2 linked regions of the Sus scrofa genome follow. The protein of the gene in region 2 purifies or fractionates together with the protein of the main gene of each other region. This does not show direct contact. Links are inferred from orthologs where the notes say so. Each region holds a gene or a part of one and is shown on either strand. Other genes may lie near its edges.

Evidence for each region.
Region 1: the proteins of ATP11A (region 2) and TMEM30A purify together in Homo sapiens (co-immunoprecipitation; 4 studies listed by BioGRID and IntAct, with this or other methods). This does not show direct contact. The link is inferred for Sus scrofa from reciprocal best matches to the Homo sapiens genes ATP11A and TMEM30A.

What each region holds. Positions count from the first base shown.
Region 1 is NC_010443.5:90,648,988-90,652,793, reverse strand, and holds part of TMEM30A (cell cycle control protein 50A), read right to left. Parts: 5' UTR 2,338-3,806; coding exon 2,041-2,337; exon of another isoform or gene 1,772-2,040; coding exon of another isoform or gene 1,535-1,771; intron 1-1,534. UniProt on the Homo sapiens protein: Accessory component of a P4-ATPase flippase complex which catalyzes the hydrolysis of ATP coupled to the transport of aminophospholipids from the outer to the inner leaflet of various membranes and ensures the maintenance of asymmetric distribution of phospholipids.
Region 2 is NC_010453.5:78,292,269-78,296,804, reverse strand, and holds the start of ATP11A (probable phospholipid-transporting ATPase IH), read right to left. Parts: upstream 3,092-4,536; 5' UTR 2,983-3,091; coding exon 2,944-2,982; intron 1-2,943. UniProt on the Homo sapiens protein: Catalytic component of a P4-ATPase flippase complex which catalyzes the hydrolysis of ATP coupled to the transport of aminophospholipids, phosphatidylserines (PS) and phosphatidylethanolamines (PE), from the outer to the inner leaflet of the plasma membrane.

The sequences.
Region 1 (3,806 bases), on a different chromosome or scaffold from region 2:
TGACTTCATTTCTCATTTCCTGAATAAAAATAACTACTGTACAAACGTAGTGCCAGGAATATTATCTGTATTGTTTCTAATTTTTACATTTCACAAGATAGGCATTATTTACTTATTTTACAGGTGAGGAAACTGAGGCTCAAAGAGACCAGGTTTTCCAAGAAACTGAGCTAGTAAGTGGCTGAGCTAGAATTTAAACCCATCTCTGTCTGACTCCTGCCTAGAGCCCACCCTCCTTGCATTACACCACTCTGCTCACATTCTGGTACGTGTGGTCCTGCATGGTTGGGAGAACAGAAAGTACTACATGTGAAAGACTACTGAGGAAATAAAAAAGATAAAACAAAAATACATGCTGAAAAAACCAATGTGATGCTTTCTCTAGTTATTAAACGGAAAGAATTTTTTTAGGAAAAGATTTAAAAACTATCCTGTAAATACTATTCTTATTTCTATTAACACAGCAATGAGCACTGTACAATTTAAAAAATATAATGATTTTGCTTTTACAGGTAACCTTGTAAATTAAACTGGAAAGTATGCCTATTCCTGTAGCCGAAATAAAATTGCTCTGAAAGCCCTATTAAATAGCATGCATAAATTTTAAAGTAGTTAATGAATTAGAGGGTAAAAGACATAATCTGATAGAACAGAAGAAATCAAGAGATCTTTGTAGCAGTTCTTCCCCTTTCAAGCAGATAAAAATACTCTCAGATATTCAAAAAAAGATAATGAGCAGATGTTTAATGCCGGACACCAAAGTACCAACATTCTGTATCAACCTATGTTCCTTGCAAAGGGATAAAGATGACTTTCTCTGACACAAGATGCTTCCCCAAGTTTATCATGTCTTATGTCTGTAAAATGTTCAGTCGACACCTCACAAGTTATTCTGTATGTGGTCATTGATTTTTTTCTTTTTTAAGCTTAAAATCTAAGGGCGGGGGTGGGGAACTAGGGCGAATGTAAGGCAAGGTTATTAATCAACGTAGCCTAAAAGCAAAATCCGAACTGAAATTTCGGATTACCTTTTACCGGTATCATGCCCTACAACTAAAAGCATCTATTAGATCAAAATTAAAGGTACTGTACACACTTCGGCCATAGACCCTAACACGTGATCTGGTAACACGACTTCTGTACATAAATTCGGCAATGACTCTTTGACCCTGGACCTTCCCAAGGCAAAAGCCAAGGTCCTGGGCTAAGTAAAGGCTCTGCGTCTAGGGATAATTCCCGCACAGGTAATGATACTCTGACCGTGCCAATCCTCCTGGGGCTTTATCTCCCTCTAACTTCTCTTTTTTTCGTCTCGGCTGGAGGTAAAAACCACACCAACCGCCCATGAAAGGGGCGTTCTTCCCCGGACCCACACCCTGCACTACACACTCACTCTCTCCAACCGGGTAAACAGTGGAGCAAGCGCGGGCAAAAGCGCGAAAGGAGAAAACCGGGGAGGCGGCGGCCCCGGGGGGAGAGCCCCGGGTCAGAGAGGGAGAGGCGCCTGCCTTTGGCCGCGCCCTCCCCCGCTCACCTCGATCTCGCGGATGTTGTTGGAGGTGACAAAGATCCCGATGCCGATAGGGATGAAGATGAGGCCAATGATGAAAAAGGTGGGCAGCACCGTGCCGGCCGTAAGGATGGGCTGCCAGGCTGGCAGCCGTTGCTGCTTGAAGGCCGTGTTATCCGGCCTCCGGTTCTTAGCGGTGCCCCCCGCGGCACACGGGGGCCCGCCGTCCACCTCGTCCTTCGCGTTATAGTTCATCGCCATCGACCCCCAGGGCGCGGCCCCGCGACGCGCAGGTGGACCGCCCAGGGGACCCGCCTGCCAACCCCAACCCGAGACGCGCAGGCGCCGCCGCCACCTCCGCTGCGAAGGCGGAAGAGGCGGGACACCCTTCCGCAGACTGCCTCTGACCGGAAGCGGGCGTCGACCGGGTACGCCGCCGGGAGGGAGACAGGACTGGGGAAGAAGACTGAGGGACAAGGGGAGGGGGAAGGGAAGGAGGATGGAAGGGGGGAGGGAAAAGGCCGACGCACCCGGACCATCTGCCCTGTGACGACAAAGTGAGGGCCTCGACCGCAGAGCGTGAGACTACGTTGGCGCATGCGCGGCGCTGGGGCGAGCGCAGGGAGCGGGTGGCCTCGGCGCTTGCCCCACAGGCGCGTCCTCGCTGCCTCGCGAGAGCTTCTATTCGCGCATCTCTGCTGCCGGGTGGACGTCATGACGGCCGCCGCCTTGGTCAGGTCCGACCCCGGGCGGGGCCAGCCGGTCAGCCCAGGAGACTGGGCTTGGGCGCAGACCTCGAAGCCTTCTCCATCGGGGGGTCGGGGCATTGAAAAGACCCCACCGAGGGAGCCTGAGCCTCGTGCGAGTGGCAGTATTGGCTTGAGGTGGAAAACCGCGACTTTCTCCAATTAAAAAAATAACCCTCCGCTCAAGGTGCAAATAAGTGTTAAATGGGATGTATGATGGATTAACCTTTAGTCCTCAAGAGTAAATCATGTCACTGGGTTAACCCTGTTCGCTTGCCCTCAGTTGAGCTGTTCTCACTTATTTCTTTACTATTAATGGTCGCCAGGTTACTGTGTACCAGCCTTTTTGTGTCCACGCTTATCTTTTGCACGTTGATTTAAGAGGTTGTTTTTGTTTGGTTTTTTTTGAGGGGGGCGGGGGGAGGTTGGCCATTCTAGCGGCAGATGGAAGTTTTTCGGCTAGGAATCAAACCCAGCCCACAGCAGTGACAAGTCAGGATCCTTAATCTTCTGAGCCACCAGAGAACTCCCAAGAGCTCTCTTCCCCCTCCTGCCCCCGCTATAGTTCCGAGTATAACATTGTATGTTTCGGGTATACTACATAGCGAATCACAATTTTTAAAGGTTATGTTTATATTTAGAAAATGTTAGGTATATTCCCTGTGCTGTGCAATATAGTCCTGTAGCTAATTTTACACATAGTAGTTTGTACCTTTTAATCACCTACGGCTACCTTGTCCCTCACCCACTGATAACTACTAGTTCTCTATATCTGCGAGTCTGCTTTTTTGTTATATGCACTAGTTTTATGTTTTAGATTCCACATATAAGTGATGTTATACAGTATTTGTCATTCTCTAACATATTTAGTAAGATACCCTCCAAGTCCATATTGTTGCAAGTGGCAAAATTTCATTCCTTTTTAATAGCTGAGTAGTAGTCCATCCTGTGTGTGTGTGTACTCCTCTTCTTTATCCATTTATCTATTGATGGACACTTAGGTTGCTTCCATGTCTTTGTTATAAATAATGTTATCATGAACATGGAGGTATAGATATATGTCTTCAAGATAGTTATTTCATTTTCTTTGGATATATATCCAGAAGTGAAATTCCTTGATCATATATATATGGTGGTCCTACTTTTAATGTTTTGAGAAACCTCCATACTGCTTTCCAAAGTGGGTTCACCAATTTACAATTCCATTAACAGTGCACAGGTGTCCCCTTTTCTTCATATCCTTGCCAACACTTGTTATTTGTGGTCTTTTTGATGATAGTCATTCTTAAAGATGTGAAGTGATATCTCATTGGTTTTGATTTGCATTTTTCGTGATGATTGGTGATGTTGAGCATCTTTCATTTGCCTGTTGTTCACCTGTATGTCTTTTCTGGAAAAATGTCTTTTCAGGTCTTTAAGAAGTCTTTTGTAATAAGCTGTAGCTCTTTATTTTACTTCTGATACTTGAAAAACCTCAACAAAGTAAAGCATTACTATAAAATGAGAGTCTGTTTAGACATTTCTAAACTACCAAGTATTTAATGACCCAA
Region 2 (4,536 bases):
TAGAAGGGAACGGGGTATTATTTTATTCATGTTTTTTTAAAACAGGAAAAAAGTTTATTTCCTTTTATTTATTTTTGTTGCTTTTGGGGGGGGCCACGCCCACAGCATATGGAGGTTCCCAGGCTAGGGAGCAAACTGAGCTACAGCTGCCCGCCTACACCAAAGCCAGGGCGACGCCAGATCCAAGCCTCGTCTACAACCTACACCACAGCTCACGGCAACACCGGACCCTGGACCCACTCAGCGAGGCCAGGGATTGAACCCACATCCTACAGACACTGGTCGGATTCGCTTCCGATGAGCCATGAGGAAAACTCCTGAAGATGTTTATTTTTTAAATTTTTATTAAAGCACAGTTGATTTAGAACGTTGTGCCAATTCTGCTGTACAGCAAAGTGACCCAGTCATGCACATATATACAATCTCTTTTAACACATATTATCTCCCATCATGGTCCATCCCCGGAGGTTGGATATAGGTCCCTGTGCTGGACAGCAGGACCTTACTGTCCATCCATTCTAAAATTTATTCACTTTTATAAAAGAAGAAGAAACCACAAGAAAATATAAACAGTCGATCCCTGTCTTTTTTCCCCCATAGCAAAAGGATATATAATTAATTCCTACCTAAAGAAAGATAATCAAATTATAAGAAAACAGACAACTGTTTCTAGAAAAAGTGCAATTAGTTTGACAGTGTAGACATGAGTTAATATAGAAATGAGTGGTTTTGCCTGCGCATATGGCGAAGCAGCCATATGATCAGATTGCTTTTAAAAAAAAAGATATGGAAGGAGAAAAACAGAAATAATCCCGTAACTGGATTCTAGAGGCGTCACCGAATAACTCACACACTGGTAAAGTTCACCAAAGAATAGTTATCAGTTAGGTTTGAAAGAGTATTTGATTTCATGTGTCTAATGTCATAGCAAAGGGGCATTTTATTTTATTTTGCCTTTTTTTTTTTTTTTTTTTTTTTTTAAGGGCTTCACCCAAGGCATATGGAGGTTCCCAGGCTAGGGGTCTATAATCGGAGCTACAGCTGCCGGCCTACACCGCAGCCACACCAAGGTGGGATCCGAGCCGCATCTGCGATCTACACCACAGCTCATGGCAACGCCAGATCCTCAACCCACTGATCGAGGCCAGGGATCGAACCCGCAACCTCATGGTTCCTCATCAGATTGGTTTCTGCTGCACCACAGGGCAACTCCTAAAGGGGCATTTTATTTTATTTTATTTTTTGTCTTTTTGCCTTTTCTAGGGCCGCTTCCCATGGCATATGGAGGTTCCCAGGCTAGGGGTCTCATCGGAGCTGGAGCCGCCAGCCTACACCAGAGCCACAGCCATGCAGGATCCGAGCCGCGTCTGCAACCTACACCACAGCTCATGGCAAACGCCAGATCCTTAACCCAGAGCAAGGCCTGGGATCAAACCCACAACCTGATGGTTCCTCATCAGATTTGTTTCTGCCGCACCACAGGGGAACTCCTAAAGGGGCATTTTAAAGTGTAAGGCACACTGACGTTTCTGCGGATTGGTGCAGCACGGGCGGCTGCTGGTCTGGAGGGGGTAAGGGAGTCAAAGCACCGCAATGGGCAGTGTGTCTGGCCCACCCCCAGGGGGGACGGGGTCTGGGAGGGTCGAGGAGGTCCACCCGGCCCTCCGCATTGCCGCTCACGGCTCAACTCGCCTTTTCATCCCCAAGCGTTGGAAGAGAAGAGAAATTACACTAGCAAGCACAGCCTAGGGGAACGCTGGTCCCACCCTCCAGCCAAACCGCTGAGAACACCCCTGGGACCAAACATGTCTCATACACATCCCGTTACCTACTGCGGCTGGGTTTTCCAGAATGTGTTCCTCTAGAGGCACCAGGGTGGCACCTGCTGTCTACACTACATTGTAATATGGACTCAAGAGTCCATGGGGACACCTTTCCTGCAGGCAGCCTTCCCACCCCTTCCCAGAATCAGAGAGGAGTTCGCTCCCCCAACTGCAACAGGCTGTCCTTCCCAAGGGAGCTCCGAGAAGGTGCCACAAGCTCCTGGCGTCTGGCTGGAGAGTGGACTCGCTGGGGAGAACTTTGATTCAAGTTCCCAGGGCTGAACAGAAACGCCTTCTCTCTGGCCAAGGTCTCTTTCTCAAAGAAAGCTCATCAATATGGGAGACCAGTTTGAGGCGTTCCTAAGCCAGAAAAAGCCAAGCTCCCATAACCGTGCCCTCTTCCAGCGGAAACCTCGGTGGGCGCGGCTTCCCCAACCTGTGCCCGACGGCGGTCCGCGCGGGGACGGAGGGGCCCTTTGTTAAAGACACGGACGCTTTCCTTCTCCTGCGCCCCCCCCCCCCCCACACATCTGATGCCAGCGTCGCTGCCCCACGCAGTCCCCCTTGGTCTGATGTGAGTCAAAACCAACTTTCCCTCCACGCCTCCACCCTACCCGACCTCGCCAAGGATCACCCGGAGCGAGGATTCCGAGGAACTCCGAACACCCGGGCCCTGGATCTGATTGGTTACTTTCGGGCAAAAAATGTCCCAAACTTCACTTCCGAATCCCCCATCGCTGTGACAAAACGAGCAAAGCCACCGCCTTTCCCTGTATCGGGTCTCTCTTCCAGTCCCTTAATCCGGGTGCCCACTCGGCAGCATCAAGCATTCCTCCCCAGCCCGGGCCCGGACTCGCCGGGACAGCCCCCGGCCCGGCTCCGGGGAGGCACGCGGCCCGGGAGCCGGCGGGAGGGCGCCCGCGCCGTCGGGGCCCGAGGTGCCGACTCCGCAGGTCCTCCCGCGTCCCGCCGTCCCCGGGCGCGGTGACCCCCGCGAGGCCGCCCGAGCCCTCAGCGACCCCGGGCGGGAGGCCGCAGCAGGGTCGGGGGCGGAGGACCCGTCCCGCCCGGCCCCGGCCCGGCCCGGCCCCGGCCCCAACCCCGCGCGGGCAGCACTCACGTATCTGTGCACGAGCGTCCGCACGAGGCTGCAGTCCATGGCTCCTCCGGCCGCGCCCGCCCGCTCAGCGCCCCCAAGCCCGGCTCGGCGCGCCCATGGGCCCGGGCCCGAGTGCGGCCGCGCGCCCCGCCCCGGTCACGGCCTGGGCGCGCCGGGCGGTGCGGGGGGCGGCCGCGGCCCCTCCGCGCTCATGCCCGGCCCGGCCCGCGGCGGCCGGCGAGGGGTGGCCGCTCGGCGGGCGGCCGCTCGGTGGCCGGAGCCCGCGCGCCGCGGCTGGGGCGATGGGGCTGCGGCTGGGCGCGCGGCGGCCGGCCGATCCCGCCGCTGCTCGGCTCCGCGCTCCGGCTCCTCTGCTCTCCTGCGCTCCGCTCTCCGCTCTGCTCTCCTCCCGGCCTCCGCCCGCCGCCCCTCTCAGCCCGGCCTCCGGCCCCGGTCCCGGCGCGCACGTCACGAGCGCGAGTGAGCATGCGCCCCGCCGCCCGGCCCCCGCCCCGCTCCCGCGCCCTCGCAGACTCCGGCCCGCGCGCCCGGCCCTCCCCGAGGCCCGCCCCCGCAGCCCGGGCGCCCGGGGCCCTGGGGCGGAGGGCGGAGGGCGGGGGGCCCGCGGGCGGGGAACGGCTTCCTGTTGCTTCCGCCTCCCGGGCGGGGATGCGCGCCAGACACCTGGGGCCCGGAGGGCGGGGAGCCGGCGCCTGGCACCGGGTCCGTCCGGGGCGCAGGCACGCGGGCCTCAAACTTCCATCCACCCCGGAAGGCCCGAGGGCGGCGCGGGGAGTCGGGGAGGGGGCGGGGGAGCGGGGGAGGGTTGGGCCCGAGACCGGCTGAATCGGGTCTGTGTCTCCCCAGTGCCAGGCCGGCCCCACGCGAGGCCCCTCCTGCTCTGCAGGTGACAGAGGCGGAGGCGGGCCTCAAGTGGCTGCCCAGGGTCGCGCGGCTTCTCCGCGCCGCAGGGAAGATGGGCGCAGGGTCCCCCACCTGGGATCCTTGCTTCTTTCTGAAATCCCACAGGCGCCCGAGCCCTGGGCCCCTGGCCCTTTGGACTCCAGAGCTGTGACAGTCGCAGGCACTCGTTATCCGGCGGGGGTGAGGGGTAGAAATCAGCCTCGAACCTGTTAGTCCAGCCTCCAGCCCCACAGGCCACGCTGCCTGTTGCTGTCGGGCCGGTCCAGCTCCTGCCTCCGCCGCTAGCTCCGCCGAGAGGGAGCTCTGGGCCCCGGGGCGCGCGCCTGTGCAGCTCTCTGGGCATCAGGCATCAGGCGGGGAGAGCGTTTCTGTCAGGCAGACGCCTGGGTTCAATGCGGGGAATGTTTCCGCTTTCCCAGCATGAAGCAAACTATCTCTTCTCAACCCCGGCCCGCCCTGTACCGGTGCACTTTGTTTCCAACTTCCGTTCTTGGGGCCAAGGGCCACCACTTGTGAAACCCGAGGGGCCTGACAAGGCCTTTGGCGACCGATCCGATCCGGGCCTTGCCGGAACGCACCTGAGTGTTCTTCTGGCTGCTTTTCGGGAAGAAGCACGGGCACTTGGGGTTAGACGCGGAGACTAGGAAGGAGCACTAGTGAATAATCGGGTAATCAGGCCCAAACCATCCC